2 linked regions of the Oryzias latipes genome follow. The protein of the gene in region 1 purifies or fractionates together with the protein of each later gene. This does not show direct contact. Links are inferred from orthologs where the notes say so. Each region holds a gene or a part of one and is shown in the gene's direction. Other genes may lie near its edges.

Region 1 (3,751 bases):
TGAAGCTGTGGATGGCGGAGACATGGCGATGCTGCTGGGAAAAGAAACGGGTCCAGCAGCGGTTAAGGTCGAGGAGCGTCCTGCTGGCGGGCATGGTGACTGACCAATACTGGCAAAGGGGTCAGAGGTCGTTACGGGGTTGGAGAAGTAGCTGAAGGTGGAGGAGGCCGCCGGCGGACCGTTGGCCGAGGTCTGACCCAGGAAACTGTCTTCTTCTCCAACGTCAGTAGAGTCTTCTGATGGACACAAAGACGGGTCAACGTTTTCTGACACTGAAACTGCAGGTCAGGGTTTCTGTGAGGCTTCTCTAAACATCAAACTTCAGGAGTGAAGCTTCACCGCCGTCCACAACATTTCCAGCTTTCTCCATATGATTCTAAACTTTTATGAGCACCATGACATCCTGTGTGATCCTTTCCTAAGTGGAAACGATCAAACAGGATGTTATCGAGTGGTTTTCAGGCAATAAGCATGTTGACTTCACTAAAATACATGTATAATATATAAATAAAATAAATCTCTAAAAGACAGATTCCAGCATTTTAACAACAACATTGTTTTAAATCTGAACAAAGTTCATCCATTTACAACTCTTCACTAAAAATGTTTAAACTGACTCATTTTCTTTTAACAAAAGCAGATCCAGTGTTGCAGATAAAACGCGTCACTTTTTCATCTTTTCTCTCAATCTGAGGGTTTTTAAAGGCTGAAGCAGCACAGCTAGCTAACCGGCTAGCTTAGCTAGCTAGCTCTCGCCCTGACAACATTCGGACCTCCGTCCGCGGTTCCGCTCACCTCCTGACAGCACCGCCGGGCCCGACGCCTGACTCACCGGCATGAAAGGCAGGTTAAAGCTAAAGTCTGGAGCGGCACTAAAGAGTAAATTCGCGCTGCTGTCGGGACCACTGTTATTTTTTCTATCTGCCATTTTCAGCTGGATTTACACGTAGCCACAACCGGACCAGGCTGGCAGTAAATGCGAAAGAAACGTCTCCTGACGTCACAGTTTTCCCCGATCTCCAACACTCACGCGACACTAGATTTCAGTAAACATCTTAGCAGATGTTTTATAAATCTTCGAAACATACCCGATTGGCTTGACCCGAGGGGATCAATGTTTTTGGTGCTGCCATCTAGAGGCCCGGATGATGATTCAAACTCCTTTGGTTTTTTTTTTGCACCTTTTTTCTTCTTTTGTCAGAACAAAGTAAAATCTCGTGAGAGATAACAAATTTCTACTTAATTTGTAACGACTTCGGAATCCAAACCAGTTTTTAGGGCGGTGAACAAAAGCAAAAAGTTGCTTGTGGCTCCGCGCTCCGGTTTACTCCGGTTCTCGAATCAAACCAACCCCCTCTTGGTGCGCAGTGACGCAAATTTCGCGCCTCGCTTCTGCAATCCCGAGTGAGTGAAAAACTTATCGGAGAAGTGAAGCCGCGCGGGTTTTCCTCGCACGTTTGTCTTTGATTCCACGGGTTCAGTGGCCGGTTAGCGATGCTTTCCACGCAGGACTGGATTCACGCACCTCTCGGTGTTGTTGAAGAGAAGTTTGGTGAGAAACTTCCCTCCACAAACACTTAACGCCTCAGACTAGCTCGTTAGCCGCGCGCGCGTCCAGCCGCCCTCACATGGAGCTTTTTTTTTTTCCTTTACAAACTTTATTAAATGTAACATTTCAATACACAACAATGCAAAACAGCAACAAGAAAGGAATAAACCAGGTGGTTATTATTACATTTCACACAAAGACACTGAAACTGACGCACTGGTGCCGCTGCCCGCGGTGCATCAGTTTAAAACTTTATTGACACAGTCGGTGGACATAGACGAGAATCGGGCGCGCGGAAACCTTTACTGACTGTAGAAATGTCGTTCGGGGTTCGTCAACTTTTTGTTAGATCTAAAGACGTTTTTGTTTTGTCATACTGGTTCTTTTGAAGTGACTTCATATATACAGTCTCTGATGATGACGAATTCCTTCATGAAGAACGAAACCAACAATCTTGAAGTTCATTAAACATTTACTTTATTTCATTTTTAATGCCAATGTGTTTGTTATTTTAACATTTTTTTTAAACGATCGAATAAAATGACACATTCACACATGTTAATATAAAATGCAAACCGTAGTTTAAACCTTCAGCAGCATTCATTTGCTGCCGGAAATGACGTCTTCCTTTGATGCTGCAGCGGCTGCGCAGAAGGGTTCCTCCCCCGGGTGGGAGGCGGAGGTGGTGGAGTTTTTTAAGGAGCAGCTGAAGGAGAAGAGCGCTCAGAGTTTGGTGAGGAGAGTCCTGCAGACGGCGTCTTCACCGGCCGTCCGGTTCTGACCTTGTCCTTTTCTGGACCAGGTTCCGTCTCTCAACGACGTTCCCCTGCATTACCTGAAGCCCAACAGTTTGGTGAAGTTTCGCTGCTTCATCCAGGACATGTTTGACCCGGAGTTCTACATGGGAGTGTATGAGACTGTGGACGGACCCACGGATGCTAAAGTGAGTGTGCCCCCCCCCCCCCCCCCACATCTCTAGCATCAGCTGACCCCCCTCCCCCTCATTTGTCCTGTTTGACCCCCAGATGCTGCACTGTGGGAAGTACAGGGATGTGGCAGAATGTGGGGTGAGTCTGCATCCTGCTGCTGTCCTCAAAGGTGGTGCAGCCGCTTCAGCTCAGCTGTTGGTTTGAATCCCAGGTGGACTTTAACTCCAAGAACACCGTGACGGCAGAGCGGCAGACCTTCTACTGTGTGCCCATTCCTGGGGAGAACCTGTGGGTGAAGGACATATCCTGGGATCAGGGATCAGGTTCTCTGATGACAGTGTGAACAGTTGTGTGTTGTTCCTTAACCTGAGAGCACGGATATGCGGGCAGCAGCCAGGCGCGCGTGGTGGCGTCCACCTCCTACGTGCCGAGCAGGCAGAAACGCAGCTACGAGGAGGACGAGGACATGGACACGCAGCCGCAGAAGCAAGCTCACGCAGGTGTTTGTCTTCGCCGTCTGCTGGGTGTCGAACCTTAGGCGTCCTCCCCCCTCAAACGTTCTCCAAATATTTCTGCAGGTCTTCAGGGTCCAACGGACCTGCAGAGCAACGCCGACTGTAAGCGTCAAGAGACGGAGGCTCCTCCCACCCAGGCGGCGTCCGCATCCCACCTCGACCTCAACTTCCCCCTCCCAGGAGAGAGGGGCCCCGCCTGCCTGGTGAAGGTTGGAGCTGGACGAGCGCGTTGGTGGCTCCGGTGGGAACCCTGATCCTCAGGCTGTGCTCGTTGGCAGGTGTACGAAGACTGGGAGAGCTTCAAGCTGAACGACGCCCTGGAGGTTTTCGGGATCCTGTCCGTCAGTCCCGCTCTCAGCGCCCTGGCGGAGGAGAGGTGAGGCCCTCGCTTCGTAGCCCCGCCCCCTGTCTGCGTGCTGCCCGTCTCACCGCCTTTCTTCCTCGCAGAGACGCCTCCTCGTCCTTCCTGGACCCCACGGAGGGCATGGAGACGGCGGAGGAGCAGCGTGTGCACAGCCCGCCGGCCTCGCTCGTTCCCCGGCTTCACGTGCTCCACGCCAAACCGCTGCAACACAACAACCCGCTGCTGCCGCACGCAACCTCGGACGACAACGGCGCCTGTAAGGACGCGTGTTTTTGTAGAAACAGAAATGATTCCAGACTAGAAGAAAACGCCGAAACACCAAAACCAGTAAATTCTGTCGCTTCCGTGGAAATTCATCAGCATCACGCAGGAACTCAAGACGTTTGACCTGGAG
Region 2 (3,751 bases), about 23 Mb from region 1:
TGTGATGGGGAGTGTGGAAAAGAGGTGAGGAGGCGAGTGCAGGCAGGTTGGAGCGGGTGGAGGAAAGTGTCAGGAGTGTTGTGTGACAGAAGAGTCCCAGCAAGACTCAAAGGAAAGGTGTACAAGACAGTGGTGAGACCAGCTCTGCTCTATGGGTTAGAGACGGTAGCAGTGAGACAGAGACAAGAGGCTGAGATGGAGGTAGCGGAGATGAAGATGTTGAGGTTCTCCTTAGGAGTGACCAGGTTAGACAGGATAAGGAACGAGTACATCAGAGGGACGGCTCATGTTGCCTGTGTTAGCGACAAAGTCAGAGAAGCCAGACTGAGATGGTTTGGACATGTTCAGAGGAGGGATAGTGGATATATTGGTAGAAGTATGTTGGAGATGGAGCTGCCTGGCAGGAGGGCAAGAGGATGGCCAAAGAGGAGATATATGGATGTCTTAACAGAGGACATGAAGTTGGCTAATGTTAGGGTAGAAGATGTCCATGATAGAGTGAAGTGGAAAACGATGATTCGCTGTGGCGACCCCTGATGGGAAAAGCCGAAAGAGAAAGAAGACTTCTGGGAAATTTCTAGGGCATTCGATTTTGCAAAAGCAGATTAGGACAGCACTACAAAATGGCAAACACCCTTTATAGTGCACTATATAGGGGTTACGGTGCGAATTCGGTCATACCCACAGTTCCATTTACACACTGATGGCAGCCCCACTGCCGAACACTTTCACCAACCTCTAACCACCAGGAGCAATGTGTGTTCTCAGGAAAATAACAAAAAAAAAATCAAAGCAAGGAAGAGAAAAGTATGATGGGTTTAACACAAAAACATCATTCAGGTTCATGTGATTGTGATAAAGGAGATGAAGCAGTGAAATATGTTAAAAACCCTTCAGGATTTAGGAAGAAAACAAAAAGTAAATCAGGAAAAACATATAATACAAACATAAAAAATGTAAGTAATTTTTATTTTATTTTATTTTATTTTATTTTATTTTATTTTATTTTATTTTATTTTATTTTATTTTATTTTATTTTATTTTATTTTATTTTATTTTATTTTATTTTATTTTGTACTGCTGAACGCCGTTCCATACTCCGGCGACAATGCACTAAAACTGCCAGATATCGCCCGCCTAAAACCGAAAGACAAGGAAGACCACCAGGGGCAGTAGTGGTTCGCCAGTTTAGGTAAACTCACAGAAGAAGTTGACGTCCGAGGAGGGAATTTTAATTACAAAAAGCTCGGTAAACCGTGCATTTAACTCCATATTTATGTAACTTATCGTCTTTTTTCGCCGTTCTACCTGACATGAACAATATATTCCTAGTCTTAAAATGTCACGTGACATATACATGTATCTGACGCTAAAAGCTTAAGATAACCGGTGTTGCTAGCTAACTCGTGACAGTCAGACACAGTGAGGACGCAGTTGCTCTGTTAAATTTAACTGATCATAACCGTTTGTTGTAACTTTTTTATTAAGTGTATGACTTTTTAAAAGTAGTCTGTGTTCTTAAGAGACATGCGTGTAACTAGAGTCACTCTCACTTTATCTTCACTATCACTATCCTAGTATTGGGGGGGTGTTTACCCCCAAAGAAAGAGACTCGCATTTTTTTTTTTTTTAATGGATAGCAAGGTGTCTAAACTTGGATGTTTGTCATTGTGTCTCTGCACTCACTCAGTGTCACAGTGAGTGTAGTAAAACTCATGATCATGTTTACTTTCCTTTCATTTTCCCTCTACTCGATGTTTTAGTTTAGCTTAAACCAGTTCTTTTCTCTGGCCTTCATTACTGTAAAGGGATGAGTGAGGAAGACTCCAGGAGAGGTTCATCCAGGGGCGGTGGTAGAGGATGGAGAGGCAGCAGAGGAGGATGGAGAGGAGGAGGATGGAAGAACAGGCCATGGAGAGGAGGAGGATCCACAGGGGGTGGAAGAGGCTCTGCAGGAACTTGGAGAAGGGGTGTTGGAGGCGGAGGATCACCAAGTCCGACCTATAGTTCTCAGAGAGGTGTGTGCCATGTTTTCTTCACATTTTGATTTTACGAAGAAGGAAACTGCTTGAAGAAACGTTCATGTTGCAGAAGAAAGACACGGTTGACATCTGTGTTTGCTCCCTCTGTGGCTGTTTCCTGGTGACGCCAAGGGGTTTAAGCATTCTGCCCTCGTGTATATTCATACCTAAGCAGCGTTACCTGTGAAATGCCTCATGTTCTAAACATGTGGTGTGGAAAGCATGAGGAGGAAAAACCGACTTTTCCCTAACAAAGAGAAGAACCACAGGAGATGAGAATTTATGTTAGACTTCTGCAGAAGGAGAAGCCCGTCTGTCACAGCCCAAAGCTGTCACAGAGGAGTTCTGCCTTCCCAGTGTATCCAGTCTGGTTTTATTGGTTGATAATATAAAAGTGGGTCATTCAATCAAGCAGATCAAACAGTATGTCTGTTTGACGTCCTGTTTGATCATCTCTCAGCGTCACGCAGATGGTTTCAAAGTGATCCACTCCTCCTCGGATTTGACTCCTTGACTGCTTCTGGGGGCCCCAGAGGCGACATTGAATCTTGTGCTGTCACAAAACGGCTCCTAATAGTACAGAGTGAGGCGTTAATAATTGTATTCATAGATTTCCCTGTGGAGATTCACACAGGTTTTCCTTTCCGCTGATAGGAAATTCCCCCAAAAGATCATCTGGTCTGAAATTTTGTGAATCTTTATATTTTAAATCAGTTTGAATTGGAAAAAAAATCATGTTTTGTCTTAAAAGAACTGAGAAAAACTAAAGTTATGGCAGAACTAATATCTGCTTTATTTGCTAAGTTTCTTGATGTAAAATTAAATATATATATATATATATATATATATATATATATATATATATATATATATATATATATATATATATATATATATATATATATATATATAAAATTCTAATTTTACATACATATTTTATATTTTAATTTAATCCACTTGAAACACAGATATTTAGGCTTTAAAAATTATTCATTTGAATAATTTTGTTTTGGGTCAAAATGTGAGGAGTCTTTCCTAACATGACAATCTATAATATTCTACTGTATAAAATCTGTGAGGTAAAGATTTAGTATTATTCTTCACCCCTAAATATGAAATGGAGGTGTTTTCAGAAGCTGCTTTTTGTCCCCTTCAGTCCCTTTTCAGACCACTCTGGACGCCTCATGCCCATACAAAGGTTGGAGCCTCTACTTCACTGAAGGTATGTGCAGATGAAGATGTAACGCTCACATAAGGTTAAGGTCTTTTTCTCCCTTTAATGTTTATTTGAATTTGTAGGATTTATACAGAGCTCCCCCAGTGTGGAGAAGATCAAAGTATTTGAGAAATATTTCACCTCCAGGATTCATCTTTTTGACAAAGTCAGTCATATTTGATCTCGTTACTTTCCTCCACTGGCGGTCAGTCTCTGTTTGTAAACTTCCTGATGTGTTCAGGATGAGATCGAGCGCCAGGGCAGCGTGCTGGTGGACTACGCTGACCTGACCGGAGACCGAAGCGTGAGTCAAGCGCTCCCTGATGTGGTCACGGCACTGAAAGAGCAGCCGGAGGTGATGCTCAGCTGTTTGGGCTTGGCCATTCATCAGGTACACAATCTGGCTTTGTGTTTCACTTTTACACACAGTCATCCCTTCAAACTCTGACAAGCTGCGTGTGTGTTTCAGGTGTTGACAACAGATTTGGAGAAACAAGCTGCTGAGCTGCATGAC

Evidence for each region.
Region 2: the proteins of mcmbp (region 1) and mcm8 purify together in Homo sapiens (co-immunoprecipitation; 3 studies listed by BioGRID and IntAct, with this or other methods). This does not show direct contact. The link is inferred for Oryzias latipes from reciprocal best matches to the Homo sapiens genes MCMBP and MCM8.

The regions. Positions count from the first base shown.
Region 1 is NC_019873.2:29,884,952-29,888,702, reverse strand, and holds the start of mcmbp (mini-chromosome maintenance complex-binding protein), read left to right. Parts: upstream 1-1,341; 5' UTR 1,342-1,494; coding exon 1,495-1,552; intron 1,553-2,190; coding exon 2,191-2,282; intron 2,283-2,351; coding exon 2,352-2,492; intron 2,493-2,574; coding exon 2,575-2,616; intron 2,617-2,689; coding exon 2,690-2,779; intron 2,780-2,854; coding exon 2,855-2,978; intron 2,979-3,056; coding exon 3,057-3,202; intron 3,203-3,271; coding exon 3,272-3,369; intron 3,370-3,440; coding exon 3,441-3,613; intron 3,614-3,751. Other genes in the region: sec23ip (SEC23-interacting protein), read right to left, coding at 1-236, 796-928. UniProt on the Homo sapiens protein: Associated component of the MCM complex that acts as a regulator of DNA replication.
Region 2 is NC_019873.2:6,458,723-6,462,473, forward strand, and holds the start of mcm8 (DNA helicase MCM8), read left to right. Parts: upstream 1-1,108; 5' UTR 1,109-1,249; intron 1,250-1,678; exon of another isoform or gene 1,679-1,697; intron 1,698-1,808; 5' UTR 1,809-1,810; coding exon 1,811-2,018; intron 2,019-3,177; coding exon 3,178-3,243; intron 3,244-3,320; coding exon 3,321-3,403; intron 3,404-3,478; coding exon 3,479-3,628; intron 3,629-3,706; coding exon 3,707-3,751. UniProt on the Homo sapiens protein: Component of the MCM8-MCM9 complex, a complex involved in the repair of double-stranded DNA breaks (DBSs) and DNA interstrand cross-links (ICLs) by homologous recombination (HR).